Linked DNA regions of Tribolium castaneum. The protein of the gene in region 4 interacts with the protein of the main gene of each other region in a pairwise test. Links are inferred from orthologs where the notes say so. Each region holds a gene or a part of one and is shown on either strand. Other genes may lie near its edges.

Region 1 (6,346 bases), on a different chromosome or scaffold from region 4:
GATAAAGGACAAGTCGTAGTCACATTTTGGTGACAAACTCGGCACATTATTATTACAAAAAGGAATTTATTACGACTTTCGGTTTGATAACGTTTCGGTCCCGCGAGCAGAGACTTGACAGCTGTCGCGTTGACATTTGTAATTTATTAGCCGTAAACATGTCATCAGCGACGGTAAAAACAGCTCAAAACATTAAATTTGCCTTAATTTAAATCAAAATGATTTCAGTTGCCTTTATTGGAGGATGACACAGTAGCATTCGGTGATGATTTAGGTGATAGTGGTGTCAAGGGGTCCCTGACGTAAGTGTGAGGCCACTACCCGAAAAACTATTCCTACTGTCTCTTTCAGACACCCTTATGTCACATTTTTCCACTTGGCCTTTCGGGGGGCGTCTATAGTAACGTACTTGTTGTGCGAATGGTTCAGTGATAGTTTTATCGCAAGTTTTGTAACGGTAGTTTTATTATTATCGATGGACTTTTGGACAGTCAAAAACATAACAGGCCGTCTGATGGTTGGCTTGCGATGGTGGAATTACGTGGACGATGACGGAAAGTCGCACTGGGTCTTTGAATCACGCAAGGTTTAACTGCTTGCTTAACTTTTCATTTGGCTTTTTTGCTTTGTTTACTGAATCAACATTTGGCCCATTTCAGGGCCGGTGGCAGAACCGTGTAAACGAGCGAGAAGCGAGAATATTTTGGATGGCTTTGGTTATAACCCCCCTGTTGTGGGGCGTGTTTTTCATAACTGCTTTGTTTTGGCTAAAACTAAAGTGGATGGTAATGTTTCCGTTCCTCCAAAAGCTGGGTTTCATTAATTTTGTTTTAGCTGCTCATAATGATAGCGTTGGCTTTAAATGGGGCCAATTTCTATGGGTATTTTAAATGTAAAGTGGGTTCAAGTGAGAGCTTAAGTTCCGCAACCACAAATTTTCTCAGGAAACAAGTTTTACAAAATGCTGTATCACTTGTTACACGTGAGGCTACCGCCCCTCAAGCAAATCCCATGAGCCAGCCATCTAACACTATTTAATAAATCGACCCTCCTTTATTTATAAAGTATTGTGATAATTAAACTTAATTCCACACCTACTAATTCGCTTATTTTATCGTTCCTCGTTAAAAGACAAAGAAAATTATTGAAAAAAAAAGTGCTCTAGGTGAGGCTCGAACTCACAACCCCGGCATTGCTCACGACTACTGTCTTATAAGTACCGTGCGCTAACCAATTGCGCCACTAGAGCTATGGAGAAATCGGCGCAAATGAACAATTAAAAAGAAACGGCACTTTGATAAATACATAATGTGTAAAATTATGAATAATTTAAACTCACTGAACATGAAACGGTTCCGGAACGTGTTAAATTTGCACAGTTATCAATTTTTAGTACGTTTCTGGCACAACAATCACGTTTTTGGTGCTTTTGCACATTGACAGTTGCCCACGGCGGGAAGTTTGAAATGAAACAAGTTGGCGTAAACACAACATTTATTTCAGTTGGAATTTTGTACAATAATTTGAAGAGGCTATAATTTATATCACAGGTTAAATTTTAAGTGAAGTATATTCCTTACCATGACAAAACACCAAATATCAGCATGTGTTAACTGATAACGTAATATTCCCATATGATAAAAACCGCAATAGAACAACAAACACTTTAATCTCTTATCTAATCAATAAAAATTCATATAAAAGCATCTCTGTACACGCTGGATAATAATAACTTTACAAGTTCTGTTTTTGCTGTTTCAACAACTCATCAATCTGACTTTTGTACATCTCTTTCACGTCTTGCAAATCAAGCTTCAGTTCTTCGTTTTCTTCAACTTTCTCGCCAAACAACTGGCAAAGAGTATCATACTGTTGCTGTAGCTCACTATGTTGTCCTTTTAAAACATCGTATTCCTGGACTTTGGTTTCAAGTTCCTCAACACGGGTCAAAAGCGACGAGATTTCTTTATTCAAGAGCGCCCTCTCTTGTTCCCTCCGGTTCAACTCCCACTGCAATTGTTGCAATTCACCGTCGCGCTGTTTCAAGTTGGTTTGAAGCATTTGCATCTCGAACATGTTGGTGTACCTTGGCGGTTGTCCCCCGTCAAAGGGCTCATCCTAGGAAAAAAATACAACACAAGCTAAAAAAAAATCGCACCTCACCTGCGACCAAAACGAGCTTCCAAGCGATTCCGCCACGGAAATTTTCCCCAGACTTAAAGTTGGCGAATTGCTCGCAGTGCGCGGCGAGTTTCGGCCCAAATTTGGCGCATCTTCAGTGCTTTTCTTGCGCTCGGATTCACTCGCTGATTTCTCCAGCTGTTCTTGCAAACTGGACGCGTTTTGCGCCAACTCGGCCACTTTGTGTCTCTCAGACACTAACTGTTCCTTCAATTCGTTAATTTCACGACCTAACTCCTGTTCGGAGATTTGTTTTTCGGTTTTATTCTGCTCCACTTCCACTCGAAGCAGCTCGTTTTGGTGCTTAAGCGAACTTAGTTCCGATTCCAAATCTGAAAGTCTAGTTTTTAGAGTCACAGACTCGTCTTTGACCGTCCGTTCTGAGTTAAGGGACGTCTGTAATCTAGTTTGCAACTCATCTGAAACAATACAAGTCACAAAACAAAAATTAGGCAAACACTACAACTTTACTTATTTTAAGCGTCATTTCTTGTTCAATTCTTTCAAAACTGGCGATTTTCATCGTATGTGTTGCTTGTAACGACTCCAATTGTCTCACCAAAGGCTTACTAACTTCAAGAACGGATTGTGATAATTCTTCGTTTCTGGCCTCAGCGTCCTCCAAACGCCTCAAAAGATCGTTGTTTTCTTTACGTAGCGACTGTTCTTTTTTCGCGTAGTCTAAATCGAGTTGTCGCATTTTTGACCGTAGTTCCTCCAGTTCGTTAAGAATCTAAAATTGGGCACAAGTATTAAACAAAAAGCGTTAATTATCACGAAATACCGCTGCGTTTTGTGACTCCGTTTGCTTTTTTTCGTTCTCTAAACTCTCCAATTTATGCTCGCGTGCGATTAACTCAGAACTAGTCTTGTTCTTGTCGACGAGTTCTTTTTTCGCAGCGTCTAAAGACTTCTTCACGGTGTCATACTTTTGTGTGAGGTCGTCGAGCTGACTTCGGAATTTATCAACTTCAGTTTCTAGTTTTTTATTTTTTGCTGTTAGCTGGTGAACTGCTTCGATTTGCGACCTTTCAACTTCCTCTTTTGCGGTTAGTGAACGCTTTAAACGGTCAGCTTCAGACGACAAGTCCTCAATTGTTTCTCTGGAAATAATTATTTTCACCGTAAGTGAGCAAAACAACGTCGTGTGCAAGCGTTAAAAAACAGTTACATACAAGTTTTTTTCTACATAGTAAGTAAATAAGCAAAACAGCTATGAACGAATGGTTGGCAGGTTGAATTTAAATTAATTTAAAAAATTTGTAAGCTTCCCAAAGAGAAAGAACTTTTTTGACTTTTTACTTTTACTTTTTACCAAAACTAAATGTTACAATGAGGTGACCAACGGTACTATTCTACCCAGGACAGTACTCTTACACTATATAGCAATAAAAAAACAGCTAAATGTTCTGTTTTTTTAAATTTGGTCAAGTCCTTATGGTGATGGTAAAGCAATTATTTCGTCAAAGAAATATAATGTTCCACAATGAACAAAACAGTACATGTGAAAAAAAAAAACGGTAAAAAACTGTAGACATATATAGTTTCTGTAGACATATGTTTTGACTGAGAAAACAGAGAAAGGAAGGCAAACAAAACTGGATAAAGAATAAAGAAGATGATAAGTTGCAGATACGTGACTAAGAACAGGAAAGAAGAGAGAAATATTCTTGCCAATACCGATTTCGGATAAAGAATAAAGCTTAGAATACAGAATAGAAGATAAAAAATAGTACAAAAGGAAGGGAATAAAAGCTAAACCAAAAAGAAGGAACAGGAGACAGAAAATAGAGCAAACAGGAGAAAAAAATTCGGAACATAGATCTATAAGAATTTCTTTTCTTATTTTACCACAGGAACCCCTTTCAACATAATAATTTCGACTGAATTTTTTATTAGTTTATTAATTTTATATCGTTTTTGTGTGTTACCGACTTTAAATTACTACGCTATGCATAACTATTTAGTTCGAACTTTTAAGAATAACATCTCGATAACACCTAAAAAGTAGTGTTTTCTTAGATTTGTACTAAAATAATCTATTTGCTTGATCATATGATTTTATATAAAAACGATTGGAATAATTTGCAATTTTTTTGCATCCCGCAGAGCAAACTTACTTTAAATGTTTGATTGTTGACTCATTTTCCTTTTCTTTCGCCCTCAACTTCTTGATAATATTCGAATGTTGCAACTGCTGTTTGGACAACTTTTCCCCCTCCTCACGCAACTCCTTAATAATTTCATCTTTTTCGCTTATAAGTGAGTCCAAATCGCTTTTGCTGAGCCTAGTGGCAGCCTCCTGTTTGCTCTGTTCCAGTTGTTTCCTCAGCGTGTCTTTTTCCCGAATTGCTTGTTGAAACTTTTTCTCTAAGGCGGACAAACGCTGGGTATATTCTTCAGTCACTTGAGACAAATCTGCAGTTTCCAATTGCTTGGTAAGCATCGAATCGAGCTGATGTCGCAAGTTGGTGTTCAACTCTTGCAATTCGGCATTTCTCCTATTGATATCAATTAATTTCGATTCTCTGGACTCCAAAATTTCGGTCATTTCCGCAATCCTTTTGATAAGCCGATCAACTTCGGATGAATGCGAATCATCGCTCACGCTCGAAGTTTCCGACAATTCTCTAGTGTGGCCTTTGGCTTTTTTCATCGTCATTTTGCACAAAAGATCGACTTTGGTGCCGTCTGATTTATTTTTCGTGCAAGTTTGCTTGGCTGGGCTTTGCCTACTTTGCGTACTACTCGAATCTCCGTTCGGACTTGAAATAATTTCAATATCTGATGAGGTGGTTGTTTCCAATTCATCACCAGAGGTGTGTCCCGAAGACCCGATTTTGACCAAATCGGAGCGACTTTCCGAACTGACTGGCGAATTTTCCCGAGGCGGCATATCCAACTGACTTATGGAAATGTTCTCCAAAACCACATTTCCCTGACTTGAGTCGATCATACTCTGAGTCAAATCCATAAAATGGCTGGTTTTCGTTGCACAATCGGGCACTTCCGGGCTTTTTTCAGTCATGGCATCAGCGATTAAATTTTTCAAATAAACGGAATTTTCCGTCACACTTGTGTCGCTACTACTGTCCATTCCGCCGTCTTTTGCTATTACAGTGCGGTCAGATTGGGAACCTTCATCACAGGATTCGATTTGTCCTTCCACGTTGTCTTCCTGAGGTATATCGATAATGTTGGTGTTTTTCAAAAGGTTGGACAAGTCCTGTCTGCTGCTCTGTGGCTGGGTGTCTATTAGTACTTGGTTGACTTGTGTTAGAGGTAAATGCATGCCACTTCGACTGGGTGCTCTTGTGATTGCATCGGCGAAAGTGTGGTTTTTTTCGGGACTGAGTGGAATGTCGCTTTCGGGCATTGATGTGTTATAGGTGTCTTTTAGCATTTTTTGGGGTTTGAGGTGGAGGAATGCTTGGTCGAGGACTGTGGCAGAGGTGCTTTCGGAAATCGATGTGTACGACATTGTGTCTTCAGCGACGCTCTCTTCTTGGTCTTCGGGGATTACTTCCACGCTGTCGGGAGTGTTCTTTTCCGCACATGGGCTGAAAGAACATATATTGAAATATGTGTGAAAAATGAAAGTTGAAATTGTAAATGAAATTAAATTAACGAAAAATGTATGTGGCGAAAAAATGACGTCTTCTCTTTATTCTGAATGATTTTTATATTTTTAAGGCAATTAACACACTGATTTATCTCTGGAAAAGTATACTCTGAATTGTTATTGATTCAAAAAAATAATAATAAAGATATGCATCAAAAATCCCCTAAATGTACTTCTCTGTATACAAGGAGACTAGATCAAAAGCCTTATTAAATTGTCATTTTTAGAAAAAAAATTTTAATCTAAATTTAGAAACCACGTGAGAACTTGAATAATTCAAAAGTACAAAAAGTGCTTTTTTTACAAAATTAAATGACATTTTTTAAGACTGCAGTGTTTGACATTAAATGTGGTGTAAACTGTCGAATTTGATTTAGGTATAACAACAAAATAATAAAAACATAGGTCAGGTCAGTTTACGTAGTGACAGTTCTGAATCACCCTAATAGGTAAAATAATGAATCCCCGGAGAGATATGGAGGTAACAATTTTGAAAGAGATTAATTATAATCATGGAAATATTTTTCAAAGAAATTACATTTT
Region 2 (5,366 bases), on a different chromosome or scaffold from region 4:
TTGTGTTCTCAGTTTTGTTTTTATACTTTCTAATAAAATCTTCATTACTACCACTTCCAGTTTTATTATTGTGGAACTATTGCTGTTTATGAAGTGTGTGTATCAATAGATAAATAGCAAACTTATGTAATGTATATTGTAAATATGTTAGTCATTTTGCACAATAGTTTGTACATCTATTATGTAAATACGCAGAATGACAAATTTGCGAAAGACACTTCAATCGTAAAGTAGCTCTTCCAACTTCACAGTAAATTATTACTCTCTGTTTCTCTACTAGGAGGTATCATATCATTTCACGTGACTTATTTATATTTACTCATGTCTGTTTCATGTTTACATTTTCTTTTGTATGCTGTTTAATAAAAAATATTAAAATTCACGCAAACGTACTGTAATAAGAGGAACTATATTTTTTGTGATTTCTTTGAAAATATAGAATAAATATATCTTTTCTACGCATGTTTTTTTGTACATTCCCATGGGTGCAATAACGGTCCTTGTGATAAAGTAATAATTATATTAAAAATATTAGGTACAATTAAGTAACATTAACCACATATAAGCAATGTTAAAATAATTTATAACAATAAATATCAAAAAGAATATAACAGGTTAGCTGTCTGACGAACGAAACAAACAGAAGATCTAAGTTTCTGTTGGTACGTGTACCAAGTAACAAAAATATAAGTGTTAGAGCATGCACATTTCATTCTCAACATTAAGGATTTTTATATTATTGTAAGGGACGGGCATTTCCGTGGTCCATAGGCTCGGAAACAGGACAAATAATCAACAAACGTCATTTCATGATTATCATATGGACTCAGAACCAACGGAAAAGACGAATTGTGATATCATATTTACTATTAGAATGACGGCAATTCGCCGTCACTTCACAATATTATTCTTAGCCTACGTCTTAACAAGTTTTAACTATTTTTTATAAACCGTAACAATTAGATTTTAGTACCACAGTTAGAAAATAAATGTACGCAGTTTTTAATTTTTCTCGAGACGAAATGCCCTCGAGCGTAGCGCCACCGTGACCAGTCTCGAAGACTAGCGGTTTATCGAATATTATTTTAGTTCACACCACCAAAGAATGACTAACTAACGTATATTGCATGAATCCCTTGTAGGACTAAGTAGACTAAATAAATATGTTAATAACTAAAACATGGTTAAAGTCTATACATCACACGAAATATGGGTCACATCTACCAATAAATATATCATTTCATAATTAAATCCAAGTATAGGCTACTCTACCGTCATAATATTCCACTATTAATCAAGAGATATACCTTAGAAATGCTACTTGAACGTAATCTATAACTAAATCTGAATTACGAAACTTTTGGCAGCTAATTGGCCACTTTACTAAACCGAAAATTAGTACTAGCCAATACAAGTAGAATAAATTAGTCTGAGTATGCATAAAAAGTCGCCAAACCAAACACATAAATGCACAGTTTACCTCACATTTCGTTAAATAAACAATAAAATACTTGAATTTTTGTGAATTGTCACAATTCGTTACGTTATAGCCGATTAAAGTGTAGTGTTAGAAATTTCAAAGTTTAAAGAATGTGGTGATAAATGCAATCGCGTAAACCACAGGTTTCGACCTGCGCTAGAACATGTCTCTGTTCGACCGTCCAGGGCGCTGAAAATTGCGGTTGTTTGGCTTACGTGCGTTTCTGATTTCTCTGTCCACCTCCAGCTCTTCGAGCCGCTGAGTCAGACCCAGCTTTTGCTGAACGGCTAATCTCAACAGCTGGTTCAAAGTCTTCTTCTCTTCTTCGGCTGCGCTCAACTGCTGCTGGAGCTCGTCGACTTGCGTCACGTACTCTTCGCAACGGGCGGCAAACATCGCACGCAAACCTTTAATAATTTTCGTAAAATTTAAACTGAACCAAATCCACCTTACTTGAAAATGTGGCTGCGTCCTCCTTCAACATTCGCAACTCGTTTCGGAGCTTCATCATCGTCTCGGATACAATTGTTTTCTCGTTTTCGTACTTGGCTTTGAGGTTCGTCAGTGCCACTTCGGCAGTATTTTTGTTTGATTTTAGGACGGTTCGTAACGTGGCAATCTGTTCGCGTTTGGTCGACAGCAAACTCTTCAATCTTATGACTTGCTCTTGTAATTCGGCGATTTCTTCGCTGTTTTCATCTTTGCTTGCTAATAAAAAGTGTTACAAAATGACTGACTGTTTTTTTACCTAACTCACATTCATATAATCCATTCGATTTTTCCCTCTTTGTTTTCGATAATTCGATGGTATTTTCAATGGCGTTTCGGAGATGTTTGATTTGGTCCACGATGGTGCAAACATTTCGAGCGACAACAGCCGCGTCATTTAAGACTTCAAGATCGTGCAAGGGAATGTCGCTCTTGAGGCGGCTTCGCAACAATTCGATTTTGGACATTTCGCCAATTGGTGGCGCAGTTTCCGACACTGAAAATCAGAAATTTAAACCGTGACCTGGCCTCGACATTTTAATTACATAAAAAGGCCGAATTTAAATAAAAATGAGACAAAAAATTGAAGTCCGATAAAACATTAAATTCGTGAATGAAAGCATCTGCTTACGTGATCAGTTAATCAGCAATTTAATTGCGGATTAAATTAATTCTTCTATAAGCCAATCCTTAATACAATAAATAAATAATGATTATTATTACAAAAATTCAACCAGATAAATATTTTAAAAACTACAAATTAGCAATTATTATTATTATTGGCTCTGAACTTTATTTTTCATAACAAAAAACGTGTAAAGAACACATATCTCATCTTTGACGCTTTTGATTTAAATTGCTTCTCCCCGATAACGAATCATCTTATGGTGGCCAAGACTTTTTTTAAAAAAGATTTTATTATTTTTATTTTCTAGTAATTGTATTTTTAACTCTACTAGTTTATCATTTTTTTCTCATGTTTTCCATGGAAAATTTTAGTCGTTAGCTTTCTTTTTTTCCAAATAAATAGTGAACCGGCTGAATTAAATAACTGGTTGGATGAAATTACGCAGAGATAACTAAATGTATTCTATTTCGAACAAATTTTTCGAATTTGTGATTAAACATAATACGTAATCATAACGATAAAAGAATTATTTTTTATTTATTTCAATTAAACATAAATGTAACGAACTAAAGTGTAAAACGACTTTATAAAAGATAATTTTTTTAACATTATACTCGTAGAGAAGCTTAATAAGTGTAAAGGACAAAATTATAGAAAATTAAAATGCCTACAAACGGCTTATTTTAGCCGATTTATTGCTTAGAAGTAAGCAAACTTACACAAAACAGATTGAAAACGACATATTTTGACTTAAAATAGAAAGTTAAGTAATAGTTTGGATGAAAATGGTTTATTTCAAACGATTCTTTACTTAGAACGGAGAAAACTTCATAAAACACACTGAAAACGCCATATTCTAACTCAAAAGAACAAATTATGTTTTAATTTAGATGAAAACGGCTTATTTCGAAAGATTCTTTGCTTAGAAATGAGTCAACAGACTGAAAACGCCATATTCTGGCTCAAAAGAACGAGTTATGCTATAGTTTGGATGAAAACGCCATATAAGAGTTTATTGTATCGGAATTTTAGTCATCAGTTTTTTTCAGCTTATTATGAATTTGATTCTCCACAGCCTTCCCTTTTTTTTCAAGCAATTGATGAAAATAATAGTTGAATTTTAATTAATTTAAAACTGCTTGAAGTCTCGTTTCTCGTGTCTAATTTTTCGTAAGAAAAACGCACTTTTTGCAAGAATTATTATTACTGGTATACATAGAAAAAAAAACTCAACTTAATTTTCGGTCAAAGTTATCTCTCATAATTTAATTTTAAATAACAAGAGGTCAGGATTTAAGGGATTCAATTACTTTAAAACAATTTGGTGCCGAAACGAAATATTTTTGAGTACGAAAATTTTTAATACCGTTTCGCCTCTTAGTTTTATACAACTAAGCCACTTACTAGGCGTCATTCCTTCCTTCTCGTGATCCAAAACCACTCTCGTGGGCGTCTCCCCGTTAACAGTACACACATGATGGTACAACTGAGCAAGCTCATCAGTAACAGTTTGTAAATTATTCTGAGTTTCATCCAATGAAGTTCCAGCTTCACTAGCAAACTCTCTCAACAATTTCAAATCGGCCTCCAAGTCCATACTCCTCTGCTCCGTATCCGACAACTTATTTTTCAAATTCGTGATTTCGGTGCGCAGCTGTAGGGTAGCGTCTGAGATATTCGTCAACTTCTCCAATTCACGAATATCCTGCTTCAGCTGTTCGATCTCTTTACAGGACATTTTGAACCACTGCTGGTACTGATTTAGAATTTTACCAGCCTCTTGTGCCGGTTGGGATACATTTTTGTCAACATTCTGCGACAAATGCTGCAAAGAATCGACATGAGCCGCCAGTTGTGTCAGTCTTGCAATGAAAACTTGTAGTTCGCCTTGACTCTTCTCCACCATTGCCTGGTTATCGCGCAAATTTTGTGTCAGAGTTAGTTTTTCCTTCTCCAGTTGTTCCAACTGCTTTTCCAACTTTCTCAGTTCGTTCAAGTGGACTTCGGAGAACAAATCGACCTGTTTATCGTCAGGCGAAGCCAATTCTGAGGCACTTCCACTCCCCAAAGTCGCCTCCAGCCGCTTCAAGCCGGGAATATCGTCCTCACCGTCACTCCCCAAAGTCGGCTCATCGCTCATTCCCCGAATACTGTACGCCAGATTATTGATATTGTAGAACGTGTCTCGGTTAATATGTTGGTCCAGTTCCTTCTTCAGCGCGTATTTGGCCTCACGTTCGGCTTGCAGCGACTCCAAGGCCTCCTCCATGTGTTTCTCGGCGATTTTCTTCAAGTTTGTCAGCTCTTCCACCTGGAGGTTCAACAGTTCCATTTCTTCGTGCAGTCGCCGGATCTCGTGTTTTAGACTTTCAAACTCCACTTGCGAGCTTTTTAAAGCTGAGACTTGTTTTTGTAAGGCTATGTTCTCTTCTTCTAGCTCGGCGTAGTCGTTGATCAAACGATTTTCTCGAAATTTGATTTCGCGGAGTTCCGTTCGTAATTTCTTGCACTCCATGCTTCGATCTTCCTTGTCTTTGCCCATATCGGTGTTCTCCTGCAGCATGCGGTCTCGCTCGGTGGTGACGCGGTCCAACTCATGACGCAGCTGCTTTATTTCGTTTTCCAATTCGATTATTTGGGAATTGAGCGATGTTTCGCGCGCGGCGGATTCAGATAGCAGGGATTCTTCCGTTTCTATTCCAGTTTTAGTTGTTACTTTATGACTAGATTGGAACTTTGCCAAGGCCTATAAAACAAAAAGATAATAAA
Region 3 (6,306 bases), on a different chromosome or scaffold from region 4:
AAGAATTAAAGCAACCATCAGCTGTGCGGCAAAGCCCGGGCTTTCTGGCCGTTCCCCAGCTTCGGTTTCGAGCCGAACCACGATCTCTTCCATTCTAAAGTATCATTGACTAATTTTTCCTCCTCGGCTGTAAACTTAAGTAAGGTGGCTATTGCTTTAGTTAAGTGTTGAGCTTCGTACTCCCGGCTCGTTAAAAATTTAATCACTACATGTTTTAAATATTTGAAATTAACATCGTCTTCGTCCCTTCTCACCACACTGGGAAAACTTTTTGTTGATACTTGACTGGGAGTGAGAATAGCTGCTGAATTTTCCACTAAGTCACTATGATAATTCGGGTTACCTGGCGTTCGCAACTCTTGCTGCAGGGTTTTCTTCATGTCGGCCAGGCGCAGCTGGAGAGTCTTGATATTCTTGAAGGAAAAATGGTTGTAGAAATATTGCAACAATGTGTAAAAGAAAGCTTCTTCTTGATCAGCTAAGTGAGATCACCATAAACAAAAAAAAATCAAGACAAGTACTAACAGAAAAATTCGTTTAGAGATAAAAAATGCAATGAACAAAACTGAAAATTAAATTTGCTTCAAATATCTCTATCACTAGCTCAGTTTTTCGAACCCATTTAAGTTTTAAGACCAATGTAATAAAAAATTGCTGGCCTGAAATAATAGTAAGCAGAGGGAAAATAAAACAGACAGTACCTTATTCGTAGCATTCGGAAAATTTTAAATGTTATTTTTTTATCAACTAAATAAATTTAAAACAATCTGGAACCATCTTATGCTTTCCACCTTATAATTTGCGAACGCTGGTAACACGCTTGAAGTTTAAAGAACAAAGTTGTAGAGAATTAAATTTTCTACAAAAAGATTTTTTCTACAAAAGACATATGGTCTTGCTGACTTTTTTGTAGGAAATTTAATTTTCTACAGTTTTTTCTTAACATTTTTCTTGTATCTGTAAACGTATTGGCAGCGTTTTGAAAAATATGGGGTTGAGTGCAAATTGGTATATTTTTGAATTTTTTTTAAATATTGTTACAATAAAATGTTTGCATTATGTTTATCTTTTTCTATTGAGAATTTAATGCTCTATCTGCTTGTATTTTTTCTTTGCTATGTGTTAACGATTACACAAATACAACCATTTTTTAAAATTCGTTGTTCTGAAGAAGGAATAAGTAGACGATAATGAAACAACTGATTAAAGAAACTATGGAGGAAAAGAACGTTTTATTTGTACCTAATTTCATATCCTAACCTTTAGGTATCCGTAGTTTAAAAAATAATAACGCATTCTCAATTTTTTCCAAGTACTGAACAAGTTGATTTAAAATTAACTTAAAATAACTTGAAGCCTTCCTCAACTGCAATAAATTTTTCTCAACAAAAAACTGAGTTATTCTGAAGCATTTCTCTTAGTTATAATAGATAATAAAACAAATCAATTTTAATCCATTTATTTTTCCCACACATTAAAATAAAGTAATACTTCCATTGTTTTGTTGTTAAATAATTTCACAAAACATTAATAACTTCAATGGGAATTTAACTGGTCCATAAAGATTAAAGCAAATTATCAAACCTCTTAATTCGGGAGTTATTGATAAACTGTCATTATAAGCTTAAAAATTTAAACGAAAAGGCGTGAACATTAAACAAACACATTTTTATCTTTATTTTTTACGTTATCACGGTTGTATAAATATAGAAATTTACCACTTTTCTTAAACATTTTAAATCGGGCTCCTCGTTTCGCGTTATAGCTCCATAAAATAGATTAAAATAGAAACATAAACAATTTCGCTTGATCAAAAAGACGCTTTCTGTCACAGTCTCAATTTTACCTTATTTTTCTCCGATATTTGATCTTCCAACTCCGCGATGTTATTCCTCAACTCCAGTTCCATCGCTTTACTCTCGTTATGTTTCCTACTCTCCTCTTCTAATTGACTCAGTTTGCCAAGCAAGTCGTTCATTTCTCCCTCCTGTCGCCTTTTCTCCTGCTTGATTATCTCCATCTGTTGCGAAACTTCAGCATTACGCAACAGTGCCGTATTTTTCTCAGCAGTGACCCTCGACAAGGTTTTCTGCACATTCAACGAATTCGTCTTTTCTTCGCTAAGTTCCTTCTCCAACTTGGTTATTATCAGCCTGAGCGAACTGTTCGCCTCATGTTCCGAATCCACCGAGATTTTCAATTTGCTACACTCTTCCCCGGTCCTGTCCAACTCACTTTCGGTGTTCTCCAGATTCTTGCGAACGACCTTCACCTCTGTAAGGGCATTTTGCTAGAAATGAATCCACGGAATTAATACAAAATCATTGGCACAAAAATGGGGCGAGGATACACATAGAGGGTTAACCCGCACTAAAAAAAATACAAAGTATCGTGAAAAATATTTATTTCGTAATATAAAAACAAAAGCGAAATAAAATAAAGGCAAGTAAACCAAAGCGTGTTAAGTAATGAATGTTAGGTCCCAGGGATACTGATACAAAATAAATATAACAAGTGTCGGCAAACGTGAAATAAAGTGAAAGCCCCGTTATTTATCGACTCACAAGTTGGGTCCTGAGGAACGCAACTTCCTCTTCAGATTCAGACCGCAGAGCGTTCAGCTCCTTGGACAACTCTTCAACATCCAAAGTCAATCGCTTGATTTTCGTCTCTTTATTATTAATTTCTAGTTTATTACACTCTAATTCCGCTTCCATTTGCCGCACTTTCTCGGCCAGGGTTTCCTTCTCCTGCACCGCCCGCCGTCTCTCGCTGCCTTCTTCAGCCGCCTGTCTGCTCAAGCGCCCCACCTAGTCGTCACAATTAAAATACAAAAAACAGGGCATTGGTCAAAACCAAAACCTGGGTCTCTAGCGAGGCGATTTTATCGCTCCAGGAGGTCTTAATGTCAGCTAGGTGCAAATGCGCCTCTTCGAGCCTCTGCTCCAACAGGCGCCTCTCAGAGGCGACATGTTCGTCGTCTGAGGTCTCATTGGCCACTCTCTGTCTCAAAACAACAACAAGGTCGGACAAATGACGCCTTTCCTCCTCGCTTTTGGCCAACTGGGTGGCCAAAGCGGCCAAATCGCGCGAACTGGAGTGTCTCAACGACTCCAAGTCGTCCTGAAAGTGGTCGGTTAATAAAACAGTGCTGGAAAAAGCGATATAACACAAAAGCCAAAAGCACATACCTGTGATTGCTGAAGCTCACCAAATAAAATAAAACAAGTGCGAACTCTGTTGGAAATTAAAACACTTGAACATAAAATTAATTTCGAGACACAATACACGTCGGGGGAGTTTGGAACGGCTGAGAAATGAGTGAGTTATTACCTGTAAATCACTTAATTGCTCCTCCTGGCGGCAGAGTCGGGACACCTCAGTGCGGAGTTTCTCCAACTGGGCGGTGGCCTCCTTCAAGGCTGCCGTCTTCTCGGCCAGCTCTTGCTCCCTCAGTAACACCAAGTGTTTGACTTTGCTTAATTCCTGAGTTTGGAAGTTTTCAATCTGCTCTTTGTCCTCCTGGTGCTCCACCAACTTCTGCTTGAACTCTGTTAAAACAAGCGGTTAGAGACAATCTCCACGTTTCACGCCCAAACCTTCGGCGCTTTTCAGCGTCTCTCTGAGCATCTGGATTTGTTTTTGGGCCTCTTCTTTCTCCTTCTCCAGACTTTGCAACTGCTTGTCCTTCTCGGCCACTATTTCCCTCCATTCTAGTTCCTTCTGATCCAACTTCCGCGTGAATTCAGCCTCGATTTTCAATATTCGTTTGCGTAGCTCTTCAGAATCGATAGGGCCATCCTCCTTAACACCGTCCGACGATACGAGGGAGTTGATGCTTGAGGAGGAGCCCTGGTGCGAGCGCCCCCTTAACGAGTCTATTCTCTGGACCGTGGAGGAGGTTATTTTCGCGGTTAGTTTCGACAGGTCGCTGCCAGTTTCCTCCCGAATTTTGTTTTTCAGAGAGGCAAACATGTTTCACGCACTGGAGCTATTTTACGGGCATTATTGAGCACTGGTTTTGCAAAATGTGGCAGAATTTTCGAAAATGTGAACACAACTATTGGCAAAACGGTCGGGTACGCGCATTTACACGTATTTGTTGATAATAACTGTGATAATAATTAACAATTTTATTAGTAGTTCACCGACAGGTGACAGGCAGGTGTGACAACAACCGCTGACGTTTGCACACCAATCGCGTGCGTGTCCTGCAATTAGTCAGCGAGTTGCAATAAAAATAATGAGCCAAAAACTATGCAAAAACTGTCCGGCTTTTAACAGCAATCTAATCTCAACCTAAAGTTGTAACAAAAATTTTCTAAATTTTTAATTTGGTATGGCACACAAAATTTTATAGGTTACTGTAAAGCTGTACTTTTAATACCCAATGTTTAGATGTCGTCGTTTATGTTTTGTTTGTTTGTTTTCAAAGTTTATATTAAATTTTGTTTTTAATTTTTTTGTTTATTTAAAAAAATATGAAAAACAAGGCTTTAAGAACATTTAGAAGAAAACTACCATTGCAATTTTAAAACTGTTTTTAATGTATTACAGGTCACTGTAATCTACTGTTTAAGAAAACAGCCCATAGTTAGCACAGAAGATTTTATAGGTTACTGTAAAACTGTACTTTGATATCCAATGTCTAGATGTCGTCGCCTAGATTTTGTTTATTTTAAATTTTTTGTATAATTTAAAACTTTTATTAATTTACAGGTTACTGTAATTTACTACTTTTTAAAAAGTCATAGATGTTTTTTTTATAGGTTACTGTAAAATTGTACTTTTACACTTAATATCTAGATGTCGCCGCCTACGGTTTTTGTTATTTTATTGTATAATTTTTTTATAAAATAAACTGAAAATTTTAAAAATCTATTTAAATTTTCTTTCACCTTTCCAAATTTTTTAAAAACTTTAAGAAAATTTGCAATTCACAAAATGCGAAATATCTTCGTTCCTGTTAGTGATGGAGGGGTGGTTCTGCCCTTTTGAAAACCCCACTGCCTTGTAGTATTTTTCCTGGGCTATCGAATAGGCTAGGTCCCGTTCCCGTATCTCCACCAAGAACCGAGATAGCACTGCACATTTTTAAATTGGGAATCGAAGTACATGACGTAATAGTGCTCCAAAAGTTACGTGTGCATGCAAAATTTCAAGTTGCAACAACAGGAAGTGTCCCAAAATTAACTCGCAAAATATGTTTCCAAATAAATCGCATTAAATAAAGACTATGAACAAAAAAGCTGAAGTTTTTTTATTAGAGTTTTTATTCAACTTGCTTTGTTTGTTGTCTTTCGGAATTATAAATATTTTGAACTTAAAATTAAAACACTTCCTGTTGTCGTAGCAACTTCAAATTTTGCATGCACACGTAACTTTTGGAGCACTATTACGTCATGTACTTCGATTCCCGATTTAAAAATGTGCAGTGCTATCTCGGTTCCTGATGAAGATACGGGAACGGGACCTGTCCCATTCGATAGCGCAGGAAAAATACTTCGGGGCAGTAGTACGGTGTGTTGGGGTTTTCAAAAGGGCAGAACCACCTCTCTATCTCCAACAGGAACGAAGATATTTGGCATTTCGTGAATTGCAGATTTTCTTCAATTTTTATAAAAATTTTAAGAGTGTGAGAAAATTTTAGTTGAAGTGAAACGATTTTGTAAAATTTTAAAAATTGATTTCGTATCAGGATCACAGGAACGCAAAAGGGTAATGAGAAAAGATATATAACTCAAAATACACGCATAAGTATAACTGGTTGCGTGCAAACGCCGCCAAAAATTTCGAGACCTCTTTGTGTTCCTATGATCCTGATACGAAATCCATTTTTAAAATTTTGCAGAATTTTACCTAAGTTTTCCTTCACTTATCAAAATTTTTATAAAAATTGAAGAAAATCTGCAATTCACAAAATGCGAAATATCTTCGTTTCTGTTGGAGATAGAGGGGTGGTTCAGCCCTTTTGAAAACCCCAACACACCGTACTATTTTTCCTGCGCTATCGAATGGGATATGTCGTGTTCCCGTATCTCCATCAGGAACCGAGATAGCACTGCACATTTTTAAATCGGGAATCGAAGTACATGACGTAATAGTGCTCCAAAAGTTACGTGTGCATAGTAGAGTATAGAATGTTACTTCTGGGCCAGAACACTTGACGTCTTAAAAAACAAGTCAGAACCTTACAAATTTAGCTGTTTGTCCAAAAGCAAACAACCGAATAGGGCCTAAAACCTCTCAAAAATCATTAATTTTTATCCACCCCAAAAGTTCCCAAATATGTGTAGGCCACTAAAA
Region 4 (6,267 bases):
TTATTAGTTTGTAATGTAACTGTAAAAAGATAATGGCGATAATAAAAAATTGTTTAGTATCTCTGTGTTTTATTGCGGACGGGCTCAGTACTTTATTACCCACTGGCGGATTTTAGACTGTGGGGCCCTGGGCGCACGCTTTTCCCAAACTCGGGTTTTCTGCAGATACACCCTGCAGGATAATTGGAATCAAATGCAATAACTGCGAAATAACGGCAATACAGGACTTTTATTTTGCTCCTCAGCAAAATTACTCATTATTTCACTTGTCAAGTGAATCACTGGTAATATTTGAAATTGCGAATGTATAAGATAATTTACTATTCGCTTTAATATAGAAAATGAGAAAAATCGGCATTTCTTTATATTTTTCTCTTAATTATTTGTATCTTTTCCCCTATGTATTTTGTACTATGCGAGCTTTTTTAGCAAAAATGCTCGAACAGGTCAATTTTCTTTTAAAAAAATACAAAATGCTTAACTTTATTTAGAACAGCAACACTTTGTATTTTGAATAATGAACGTCTTCGGTATGGTGAAGCCGTTACGGCTTACAGCTAAGGGACGTCTGCATAATCTCACTTTTGATTTTTTGGAATGTTATTCTATCTCTCATGTTACATGAAAATTATTACAATTAGGGGGTTTCCATTTTTGTCTAAACAAATTATTTCCAGTTTAAAACGTTATTCTGTAATTTTCCCGCTCACTGGATAGCCATGTGTGTGTTTGTGAAAGACACTTATTTTAATTTTTAGCTTCATCTTTAGTTTACTTAGTCACAGTTCATGATGGCTGAATTTTTACTTTAAAAAATATTAAACAGGCCTAAGAAGAAACGGTTGGAAGGTGAATGCGTTAGCAGGGTTATTTAAGGAGAGTCTTTTTAAAATGTATTTATTTTTGATAAAAACTGAATGGTACATAACAACGTAACAAACAGAATGTCAGCTGAGGAAGTTGCCATAGCATCCCGAAATGAGGGTTTATGTACATCAGACTTTTGTAATTATTGTAATATTAAGTGCAATGATACATCATCAATGCCAAGCTATAATTTGATTTACATGTCCATATATGTTAACACGATTGAGCTTAAAACCGACAAGAAAAGAATAAGCAAAATGATTTGATAGAAAAATGAGAGATCACCTCGTACACAGTTTAAAGTCTTGTTACATGAAATGCAATTAATTGTAACGGTGGATGTTCCATGCCACACATAAAGTGCCAATTGCAAATAAAGTCACACTTATAGCTTTTCAACGTCAACATAGGCAGAGGCTACTTTGGTTGTTAGTTAAACTAAATTGGTTTGTTGAACAATTAGATCTAGGTTTTCAGCACATACAGCCCCCTTCTGAGTCATGTTGGTCGTTTTGAAGCTGAGGCTGCGTTTGTAAGTCCACCGCTGCGCCGTTGTTAAGGAAAACCTGGCCAGACTCGCACATGCACTACAATCATGCTGAGGCAAATCATACAATCCACATTACGAAAAACTTTATTAAATGCTTGTCAATAAATTACTACAATAAACCTAAAACTAATCGCACCGCTTTGTACCCATTTGGAGCTCGTCTGCGACTAGCCCCTGGATTGAGAATGCAATTAAGATTACACACCGTTTTACTATATTAAAAAAAGTATAAACATCCAATATTGCTGGGTCAATATGTACAGAAGGAACTAATTAGCAAGCAGCGGACTAACATGCAAGCTGTTCTCTGTAATGGATTAAAGCTGGGCCAATCTCATTGTGCGTTATGACACTAAAATGATTTATCCGCAGTTTGAAGGAATGTGCTAACACTAATTTCGTCATCACAAATTGAGCTTACATAATATCGTGGATATCATATTGCAGGTCGACACATAAACCGATGAGTTGGTTTGATTTGCTCAGGCACGGCGACAGTCAACATTTATTTGAACCGATTATCAATGGCTTAAACTATGTGATATGTTTCATGAATGTCCGATAATTGAGCCAAATAAACGGCGTCCTTCTCGATTAGTTTGTAAATAAGCACCATATTAGTAAACGTTGTATCAACTGAATAAAACTGATCGATAAATGTAACGAAGAATATCTAAACCAATTATATTTTACACATAAATAATATTACGATAGTTTCTAAGCAATTAAGGCAATACTTTAATTAAGAGGACAAACCCCGATTCGACAATATGTACAACTTATGGTCAGTCGCTCCAGAATTTGTCATATTTGTAAGGTCTACACAAATATTGATAAGTAAAAAAGTTGTTTAGCATGCACAGCCTCCGTCTGGGTCTTTAACTTCGTTCGGTGTGTCTTTTAACACGACCTCTTGCACTAAGAAAAACATTAAGGAAAATAAAAGAAAATTGTGCAAAATAAAATCATGCGCATGCACTGGCGAAAGGATACTGTCTTCTGGTGGTTTGTTTTCCGTCGAGTCCATCCCCGGCAGCGCGGCGGCCACACGTCTAAACAACTAAACAACAAATTCAATAAACAGCGAGACCGCGGGAGCAATGTACCTGTTTAACATTATATCCAGCTTTCGCACTAGTTTCAATAAACATGACGTTCAGCTCCTTCGCCTTCCGCTCGCCTTCCTCCGTGCTGACCTGCCTTTTGTCAGAAAGGTCTGTTTTATTGCCGACGAGCATTATAATAACGTCGCTGCCTCGCTCCGTCCGCACGTCGTCGATCCATTTAGAAGTTTGATGAAAGGAGTTGGCATCTGCAAATCTCTCATTACCGCCGGTCTTTCCCCGAAACTCATACAAACTTGTTATGTCATAAACTACGACAGCAACGGTCGAATCACGAATGTACGAGGGTATTAACGACCTAAATCGCTCCTGGCCGGCTGTGTCCCACAACTGCAACCGTACGGTCCTGTCCTCGAGGTACATTGTTTTTGATAAGAAATCAATTCCTATAGTCGCCTACAAAACACAGTTTCACAAACACCTTCACCTTGACTTACAAAACCGCAAAACTTATCAAATTCCAAATACAAGCGAAATAGAAGTAGGTGTGTGTGGGACGACAATCGAAATCGCCCGGCCCACCGTATCGATTATTTTTTACGATTTGTAAATACTTACCACCGGTAGCCGGTATAACTTATTTAGGGATGTTCGCGGAACTCGATCAATAAACTTTTAAATCGTAATTAGAGCCCTAGCAAATTTCGTTTTAATTAAAACCGGGCTCGTGGCTGGGGCGGCGAATCTAATTACATCTTAATTTTTGGCGATTTTGCGGAATTTACGGCGCTACCCCCGAGCGTAATTGCGGTTTAATATTACATTTGGGTGATAATGGTCCGTGGGACTCACCTGGTAGGTGTTATCGAAGCTGTCGTACATAAACCTTGTTATTAGCGACGTTTTGCCAACTGGAAAAGAACAATCAATTGGGGCGCTTGATCACTGAATAAAAAGTTATCAGTTTTATCAAAACATAACCTAGAAATGATCTGTCATGTAGGATGACGAGTGGTCAAGTCGGGAAAATCGATATGAAAAATGAAGCCTCGTCCAGCGTTTGCCAATCGATTAATTATAAAACAAATAGGAGGAATGTTGCGAAACATGACTTTTATTGATCTTTTCACGGGTCTGCTTGAAAGTTTACAACTCATCAAGAAACGTCAACACTCACCACTTTGTTCTCCTAAGAAAACTAGTTTAAATTTTCGCAAGGGATTACCAAAGTCTCCTGACGTCGACATTTTTGTTAAAAACTTAACGATTCTTTTAAAAACCCTGCAAATTGCGAATTTCACAGTAAAATATCACAGGAAAACGAACTGTACCGACTAAACCAATGACAGAATACGCCACGGTAGCGACTCGAAGTGACTGCAACACTGCGCATGTTACATTTGGGAGTGACCAAAAAAATTAAAATCATAAATATTTTACATTGGACTAATAATCAGGCCCCAAAAAACTGATCCGATTCGTGAAACTAACCCGCAAAAAAGCCCATTTAATCCACCCGCACTTTGCGCGAAAAAACAAATCGGGACAAAAACGTTCACAATGCCAGTCCGGGCCAAAAATGCTCGTAATTAACAATTCGGTGCCAATTTGTAGCTTAATAACTTTCAAATTCAAAATTGCAAGCTTGGGTTTGAAATTGGTGCGCGTGGCATTGCCACGAAATTCCCCTAAACGGGTGTATTAAGTTGGCTACAAGTTCAAAATCTGGTTTTGTTTCCGCAGTCTTTGGTCAAAATTTTGGTTTTTTGCTTGGAGGCGGCCCTTTCGGGCGCCGGGGCCGGGGCCCCACGTCGTGGCGGCGTCCTGGGTGTGCGTGCCCATGATGGTCGGTTGGCAGGTCTGAATCAGCATGCGCTTCAGTTGCTTTATATCCCTACTCCACTCCCCAGTTTTCACAGTTGGGAAGTTGGACAAGGCCCAAGGTGTTCCAATGGGAAGACCATCGAATTGTTTGGGGTTGTGAAATCGTAAATTTGTGGTTATTCACCGGTTGGTCCCGGTGCCCGAAGTCCACCCTCCCTGGGGCGCCTCCTCGCATAGTGCAGTTCTGTTGGTGTGCATTGGACGTGTAGAGTTAAATTTTAGGCACTTCCAGGAAAATACTGTACACGTAAGTGAAAATCGGTGGTTTTTGGGATCAGTTTTTGGGTTTGAAGGTCGGGAGGGTTATTTTTGTTGTGTGGCTGTGACGAGTTGTGTGAGAGGATTTAATAACCTGCAAAATTTTGGCTGCGGTGGAATTTCGAGATTTGGTTTTGGATTTATGTGCCATTAAATTAATGGGCCGTTCGTAAACAGATCCCTTTTAATTAGGCCAGGACGGTCTAGGAAATTGATTCGGGATTGGAGGGCATTCGTGTGGCTGTTTTTGCGAGCTGGATTGATAAAAATTATCTCACGTATTTCAGAAATCACATCGGTTTTTATGACGCAGAGGGGCCCCTTGTAGTCAATTAAACCTCATAAAGATATTAGATTAACTTGAAGACTACGTTTCGATTGGCTCGGGAGTTGTAAGGGCAAATTTTATTGATACCTATACCTTGCCAGATTATATGTGTGTGTTTAATAGGCAAATAAAGATAATATTGTACAAGATACGGCTCCAGTGCCCACCTTTAAACAACCTCGGCTCTGAATCATAGGAGATGAGGAGTTGAGTTCACTCGGAAAAGTCTCCTGCAATTACTTAGGTGAATCATATTTCCCTTTAAAGTCAGTCCTCTTTGACATCTCGAATAAATATAACAAACGATACTCTGCGAAGTCTCAAACTTCGCTAATCAACACCGGCGTTTTGTTTTAAACTTTCCAAATTAATTTCAGCTATCTTTTCATCAAGTCATGTTTAGCCCGAAATTGATTTATAATATTTATGAGAGTGAAAGAGCGGAGAATTATCTCTGACCGAAGCACATTAAGTAAAAAGGCCCAAAACCCACAACCCGGTTATTTCCCAAAGGCCATTAATTCAATTTTAATCAGTCCGATCTTAAATTTTCATCGAAATCAATCGAAAAGTTCGTCAAAGCGGGCGAACCCTCCGTGTGGCAATTAACATTTTGTTTGCAACTAACCGAACTTGATTCAGAGTGTCGTTTCAGGTCCGTCAAAATGATTTTTTTAAATTTCGGTTAAAATGCGTAGGAGTAATTTTTTCGCGTCGGTCCAGAGCTGGTTTTCGAATTTGTACAATGCTCGGATGGGCCACAATGAAATTGACAAAGAGGTGAGTTGTGTGGTTTTCGGCTTTTTAATCAAAGATCAGGCTAATTGCTCAGAAAATATCGTTTAAGCTTGCACCTGATTGGCCGTATAAACGAAATTCGAGTGAACTGATCACCTCGTTACACCAGCACGTGATGTAATATCGACTCTTTGATTGCTCTTTATATTGGTTCATCAGCAAGTCGGCCTTTATGGAAATAAAGCAGGAGGGAAAAATTACTTTTCTATCACATATCAGACTCCTGCATCAAATCGAATAATCGTCAGCCGGGACCAAACCCGGGAATTCCACTTCAACGAATCACTTTTGACGGTTTCATTGAATCGATACATTATCGCAATTACCTAATATTTATCAAATACACAAGATAGCGAGCGAACTAAGAAGAGTTTCGACGATACTGGGAGTCATTTGGACTTGTTAAACACCATTAAAATTATTGTTAATTACAGTGTAATAGCGATGATAATTCCTAAATAAGTGTGACTGCGCGGAATGTTGTTTCATTAGTTGTTGAAACCGAAAGTTGTATACAA
Region 5 (5,546 bases), on a different chromosome or scaffold from region 4:
GGAATAAATGTATGCGAATACAAAAGTTTTAAATCGCAAAAAAATCAGAAAAATCAAAAGAGCTCAGAAAGAAGACCCATGTTTAATTTTTTTGTGGTTTATTCAATTGTAATTACAAATTTGTACCTCCAATAGTTTTTTGGTATGCCGTTGTATTTCTTTATTTTAAGTAAATTTTAGTAAAATGTCCAACCATAAACATAACAACTCGTTTAGACCTTTTACAAAATTAAGTAAAAACGTTTGTCAAACATTCAGTTAATCGAAAAAATTGTGAAGCCAAAAAAACAAAGCAATTTAATTATGTAAATGAGAACAAACCAGTACCAGATTCTATAAATTATTTTAAAATTCACGTTTTTTATTTAGTGTTATTAGGTCTCAATCAGTATAAGCATTTTCCACTATGAATTATTATATTACCGTTGCTATTAGAATTCTCTTGAATTCTGCTTGTGGAGACCTTTTCAAATTAACTATCAAAAATTATCTAAGACGATGTCCCAAAATCGATTTATTAATTTTTCTAACTTCCTACTACTGCAGTGGACTAGATAAATTATATTTTAGAAAAAAAATTTGCCTAGAGTAAAGTAAGGTGAATTTATTGAGTAAATTGTGTAAATATTAGGTATGTAAATACTCAACAGTTGACGTACCTGCACAAAATGTAAAATTATTCTTCTACAAATAGTTTTATTTTTGTATAAATATACTATTTCAAAATTATCTCCGTTATTAAAAACATTTTATTAAAACGATTTAAGCTAAAACTCTTAAGAATAAGGCATAGTGTCTCGTGTTAAAAGGAACGCCTCAACTTCGCGAACACCCCCTGTATTGTATTTTTAAAATTTATGTTTCTTAGCCTGATGATGTTTATTATTTAAACGAAAAGTTGCAACACGTCGTTAAATTTTATTACAACTAATTAAACTTTGCAATCGCGAGGCATAGGAATGTATCAAAATTCATATCTTTAGTTTATAATTTATTCAATAATGCAAACATATATTTCATAATGACAGATAACACTGTTCTGCAACAAATCCTCTTTTAAATATAATTAGTATGATTATAAAAGATTTAAATTTTTCTGAATCTATATTGGCCTTCGGTTTTTAGCTATGATGATGTTTTTTCATAATATTTTTTTAATTTCTCAAAATTCAATATTTCTTGTGTTTCTTCATTCAATTTACGTTACTTAAAAACGGTTTCAGTTGATGGAAAGATAAAAAAGCTCGAAACTACCAGAAAATCATTTGAGAATTTTTTTTCTTCTTATATAAAGGTCTAAAATGTCTTATCAAAAATTCATTTTTTTATTCTAACTTAAATTTGTTTACCGATAATCTTAGAACAGTATGGACATAAACATAAAGAAAGGTTCCATGTTAGATTTTTGTATATTTTAATTAAAATAGGCTTAACACGATATTTTGTATTTTTCTAAAACATTTCGAGTTAGTTATTGCTAAAGAAGCTATGGACAAGGTATTACAAAATTTATTTTTATACTTTGTGTTTATAATCAGTATATATCAGTAGGCTCATTGAAGTACAGTGTACTTTAACGAATTTAGGGATATTTAGCTTTTAAAAGTTTCATCGATAATGCGTGGAATACAATACAAGTACATCGATTTAATCATCATTTCTTCTTTATTTATTATTTTTTACCATTAACAACTGACACAAAATTCCCTAGACGACAAAACTTAAATTAATTAAAATAAGAAAAAAGGATGCGCAAAGTATAAAAAAGGTTAAATACTCATTTCATAAGGGTTTTTGTGCACTCATCCCATAGAAAGCTCGTTTAACCTGACCTGCTTGGTTTTTTTCGACATAAACTACATTGAAAACGATTAGAATATGCTTTCTAAAGTTCTTAGAGCTCAAAAACATACTACTTGAATTCATTACGAGCTCGTTATTGCTGCTAAAGAAAATGACAAATATTCTACAAAAATGAATTCTTTTATTTTTGGAAGCACTTGGCGGCGTTTTAAGTTTGTTTCGATGCCAGAAGAAGAAATACGCTGTGTAATCATTTTATAGTTTGATGTGGTACATGCCAAACATGTACTTTTATATAATTTTTTTTTAAGTTTAAAATTGCTTTAAAGGAAAAAAATGGTTGAAGCCCTATTCTCAATTACCAATAATCATCCTAAACTCATAGTTATTTTATTTTCGATAAGAATTAATCTACAAATATTAAAATTAATTAAGCTTGTGCAGGTAGATGTAATTTCTTTATTTAAAAAAAAATCATACTCAAAATTTATGGATAAAACAATGAACTACACATCTAACTTAATTCTAACTGGAACTAGTTATTTTTTTATTGAACAAAACAATTATTTAATATTATATAATGTTATTAAATAATTATTTAATATTATATAATATTATTTAATAATGTCCTAACTTAGTAAACCATGAAAGCGCGTAGTGTAAAAAATAGTTTTAGGCACATAGCCTCTTCATCCATTAACCCCTTCAGTTTTAAGTTTAAATTAACCAGGTGAACAGGGACTTAAGGGTAATTCGGAAACGAAATGGGAAAAGTTATTTAAAAATTAATAATTTTTCAGAAAAAAAGATATCGATGCGATTGAAAAATTTAAATGCTTTTTAACCTTGAATTTTTATGTTTAGCACCACGAGGGTCTTAACTAAAGAAGAAGAAAACAGTTCTGAATTTTAATTAACTTCAAACGCATTTCCAGAAAACCGTGGATTGATGTGCAAAAAAATCTTTAAAAAAAGAAGTAAACTCTCTTGAAATGTAGTCTAGAATGAGTCCATTAATCTTTACTAATCGATCAATAAATAAATGCTTGAATGTAGAATTTCATTTCTATTTATTTTTTTTCGTGTTATCAGTATAATTCTTCAGCTTATTTCGGCTCTATAGTAATAATGCCGCATGTTAGCAAGGTCAACATAAAAGAAACATGAAACTGATACCATTAAAATAAAATAAAAATAACAACGAGACCTTTTTACTTTTAAAATGAACCCAAATAATTCAAACCCACATATTTTTAGTTAAATAATTCTTCTTTTTTATGATTTTTAGTGTTTTAAACCGAATTATAATGTTTGGTGGCAAATTATTGTGATTAAATTTATTTTAATTTTTAAAATTAATAAATTTGATTTGTAATTCTAAGTAAAATCAACGATTTATATAAAAAGACGTATTATATCCCATTTCAGTTCTTGGTAGAATTTTGCAACAGCCCATTTGCATTTATTGGCGTGAAAAATTGATTTCTTTGTATGTTTTCTGTTTTCATTGTAAAAATAAAAAATTGTTATTTATGTTAAAAACTATATATTCGTAAATTTCTAAAAACTCTCAGTTTCTTTAAATAAATTTGCAGAAAAATTATTCACTGATTACATAAATGATATGTAACATGTTTAAAGTGGAAAACAATAATTTAGCGCAATTTTTTTGTCGTCTAATAATTTTTCAATGTGACTACGTATCTTTTTTCCGTCAAACAAATAGAAATGTATTTGAAAAAAAAAACAGCAGAAAAAAGTCATGTATTTGGTGTCTTTAACAAAAAGCTCCAGTGGCTAATTAACTACTTATTTGCCTTATCGAAGCCAATTTACCTGGAACAACATAATCAAACCGAAATGTATTTGAAGCTAATTACGTGTTTTTTACAATAAATAAAGAAGATAATGAACGTAACTAAACAATAGAGACAGAAATCGTTTAATTATATTCTTTTTTAAATAAAACTGTTATGAAAAAGGTCAAGAAATTAACAAATATGTATAAAATACTTTAAAGGTAAAGATTTATGTTTGTTTCCCATCTCAAATGAGAGATGACGCAATTTAATAATTTTCCTTTTTATTCATTCATTTTACAATATTAAAAATTGTACCAACAGAGCACTTCATAATACATTTGTTCAGACTTTTTCGACACGAAAAATTAAAGGTAGGACATAATTATTAAAATGAATAAAAGTACAATAATTACATCGATATCGAGCTTACACCAAGCATGCAAACACCCCAACCACATCCAAACTACTCCAAAAGCTACATCAGATTTCACTTACTCGAGCCACTTCCACGGCTCAGTATCCGGACTAGTGATAGGCGTGGGAAACTAAATAAATATCATTAGCACACACTATATTAACCCCCCAGTGAAGCAATTTTTTGTACACGTTAGTATGATGAAGAAGCAAAAGCGAGTGCTTTTTTCTTTCACATCGTGTGTGTGATAAAACCATCCAGCAACCCAATCACACGAATTAACTCACCTCGGCTTGAAGATCAGCCACTTTATCTTGCAATTCTCTAACTCGATCGCTATCGTCGACCGACTGGATTCGAAGCTCGCCTTCGGTGGCAATTTCCTGGCTCTGCAATCAAACAATCCAATAACTTCAAGCCGCCACAATAAGAGCAAATAAATGCAAAATAGAAACGTACACAAATATACAGCGAGTTGGTGAAGTATTTTATTTAACAATTTGTAAAATATATACTATATTAGCTGTTCCTAAACTATAAAAACGCTAACGTCGCATAATCTCTCAAAATTAACTGTTATAAATTATTTATGCACTTCAAAAAAATAATATCTGATGTAATTTATACTTTCAATGAGAGATCTAATCATTAATAACTATTTTACAATTTAAACAATCTTGTTGGTGTTTTTATAGTTTTGAAATAGCTAATACATTGTACTGCCCAAAATTATTTTTACCTTCAGTGGAAAATCAAACCGCTTTTTCTTTTTGTTAGGCAAAGTTCAAAAAAACAAAACATTTAAAAATAATAAAAATTTCTTTTATTATCAGTTTGTGTAATAAATAAAAACAAAATAAAACAGCGTTTTTGTTAAAGATTTAAGAAAAACTAATCAAAAGCTAAATCCAAAAATGTACAAAATTGTTTCATTCAAAAAAATCCATAAGATACGTGATTCTCAGGAAATAATGAATAAATAAATATACAGGATATATCAAAAATACGTCTGTTAATTTTACAAGGTAATAAAACTCATCAAGTACAACAACTTTTCTGTATAACATTTTGCAAAATTCTTATTTATTTTAAAAAGAAAATCGGTAGCATAACGGATTTCTGCAACAGTCTGTATACTTTAAAATATTTCAGATGACGCCACTGAGTTTGTATTCAAATATTTGAATAATTGAGTTATAATTATCCAATTAATTAATTGGATAAAGACCAGCTATAAGATATCTGACAGTTTCAACTGTAACTGCATACAGCGTATGCGAAAAATTGGTAAGAAAATGTATAAGACGTTCAAATTAAAACTTTAGAAAAACTCGTACTAACGTAGTTTTTAACTTTTATTTATTTAATGAAATCTTGCAAAAAAGCATAAAAATAATGTGTCTGACTTACGGAGAGCTAATACTAGAAGACTAAACAAGGTACAAAATAGCACTATTTTCTATATCAAAAAAATTAGTGGGGCGAGGAAAAAAAGAAAAAAAAGAATGAAATTTTTGATAAACTAA

The links.
Region 1: the proteins of Rab6 (region 4) and Tmf interact in a two-hybrid assay, tested with the Drosophila melanogaster proteins (2 studies listed by BioGRID). The link is inferred for Tribolium castaneum from reciprocal best matches to the Drosophila melanogaster genes Rab6 and Tmf.
Region 2: the proteins of Rab6 (region 4) and BicD interact in a two-hybrid assay, tested with the Drosophila melanogaster proteins (3 studies listed by BioGRID). The link is inferred for Tribolium castaneum from reciprocal best matches to the Drosophila melanogaster genes Rab6 and BicD.
Region 3: the proteins of Rab6 (region 4) and Golgin97 interact in a two-hybrid assay, tested with the Drosophila melanogaster proteins (2 studies listed by BioGRID). The link is inferred for Tribolium castaneum from reciprocal best matches to the Drosophila melanogaster genes Rab6 and Golgin97.
Region 5: the proteins of Rab6 (region 4) and Evi5 interact in a two-hybrid assay, tested with the Drosophila melanogaster proteins (2 studies listed by BioGRID). The link is inferred for Tribolium castaneum from reciprocal best matches to the Drosophila melanogaster genes Rab6 and Evi5.

What each region holds. Positions count from the first base shown.
Region 1 is NC_087394.1:35,285,091-35,291,436, reverse strand, and holds the end of Tmf (TATA element modulatory factor), read right to left. Parts: intron 5,742-6,346; coding exon 4,302-5,741; intron 3,285-4,301; coding exon 2,966-3,284; intron 2,915-2,965; coding exon 2,653-2,914; intron 2,601-2,652; coding exon 2,164-2,600; intron 2,119-2,163; coding exon 1,735-2,118; 3' UTR 1,483-1,734; downstream 1-1,482. Other genes in the region: uncharacterized Golgi apparatus membrane protein-like protein CG5021, read left to right, coding at 159-173, 229-302, 352-586, 660-785, 835-1,038.
Region 2 is NC_087396.1:19,858,399-19,863,764, reverse strand, and holds the end of BicD (protein bicaudal D), read right to left. Parts: intron 5,344-5,366; coding exon 4,002-5,343; intron 2,466-4,001; coding exon 2,238-2,465; intron 2,189-2,237; coding exon 1,934-2,188; intron 1,888-1,933; coding exon 1,637-1,887; 3' UTR 501-1,636; downstream 1-500. UniProt on the Drosophila melanogaster protein: This protein is essential for differentiation. It may play a role in localizing of Nanos (a maternal determinant) activity in oocytes. Functions redundantly with BicDR.
Region 3 is NC_087398.1:7,123,062-7,129,367, forward strand, and holds the start of Golgin97 (golgin subfamily A member 1), read right to left. Parts: upstream 4,198-6,306; 5' UTR 3,976-4,197; coding exon 3,600-3,975; intron 3,552-3,599; coding exon 3,334-3,551; intron 3,124-3,333; coding exon 2,863-3,123; intron 2,811-2,862; coding exon 2,565-2,810; intron 2,291-2,564; coding exon 1,847-2,290; intron 479-1,846; coding exon of another isoform or gene 414-478; coding exon 18-413; 3' UTR 1-17.
Region 4 is NC_087403.1:1,773,896-1,780,162, reverse strand, and holds Rab6 (ras-related protein Rab6), read right to left. Parts: upstream 3,875-6,267; 5' UTR 3,729-3,874; coding exon 3,659-3,728; intron 3,393-3,658; coding exon 3,334-3,392; intron 2,938-3,333; coding exon 2,778-2,937; intron 2,730-2,777; coding exon 2,524-2,729; intron 2,478-2,523; coding exon 2,411-2,477; intron 2,336-2,410; coding exon of another isoform or gene 2,268-2,335; exon of another isoform or gene 1,489-2,267; intron 1,412-1,488; coding exon 1,341-1,411; 3' UTR 884-1,340; downstream 1-883. Other genes in the region: beta-arrestin-1, read left to right, coding at 5,642-5,731. UniProt on the Drosophila melanogaster protein: Protein transport. Regulator of membrane traffic from the Golgi apparatus towards the endoplasmic reticulum (ER). Mediates membrane trafficking during egg chamber growth and organization, possibly upstream of exocyst component Sec5.
Region 5 is NC_087394.1:12,671,269-12,676,814, reverse strand, and holds part of Evi5 (ecotropic viral integration site 5 ortholog), read right to left. Parts: intron 4,410-5,546; coding exon 4,308-4,409; intron 4,151-4,307; coding exon of another isoform or gene 4,101-4,150; intron 1-4,100. UniProt on the Drosophila melanogaster protein: Functions as a GTPase-activating protein (GAP). During border cell migration in the ovary, acts as a GAP for Rab11 and is necessary for the maintenance of active receptor tyrosine kinases at the leading edge.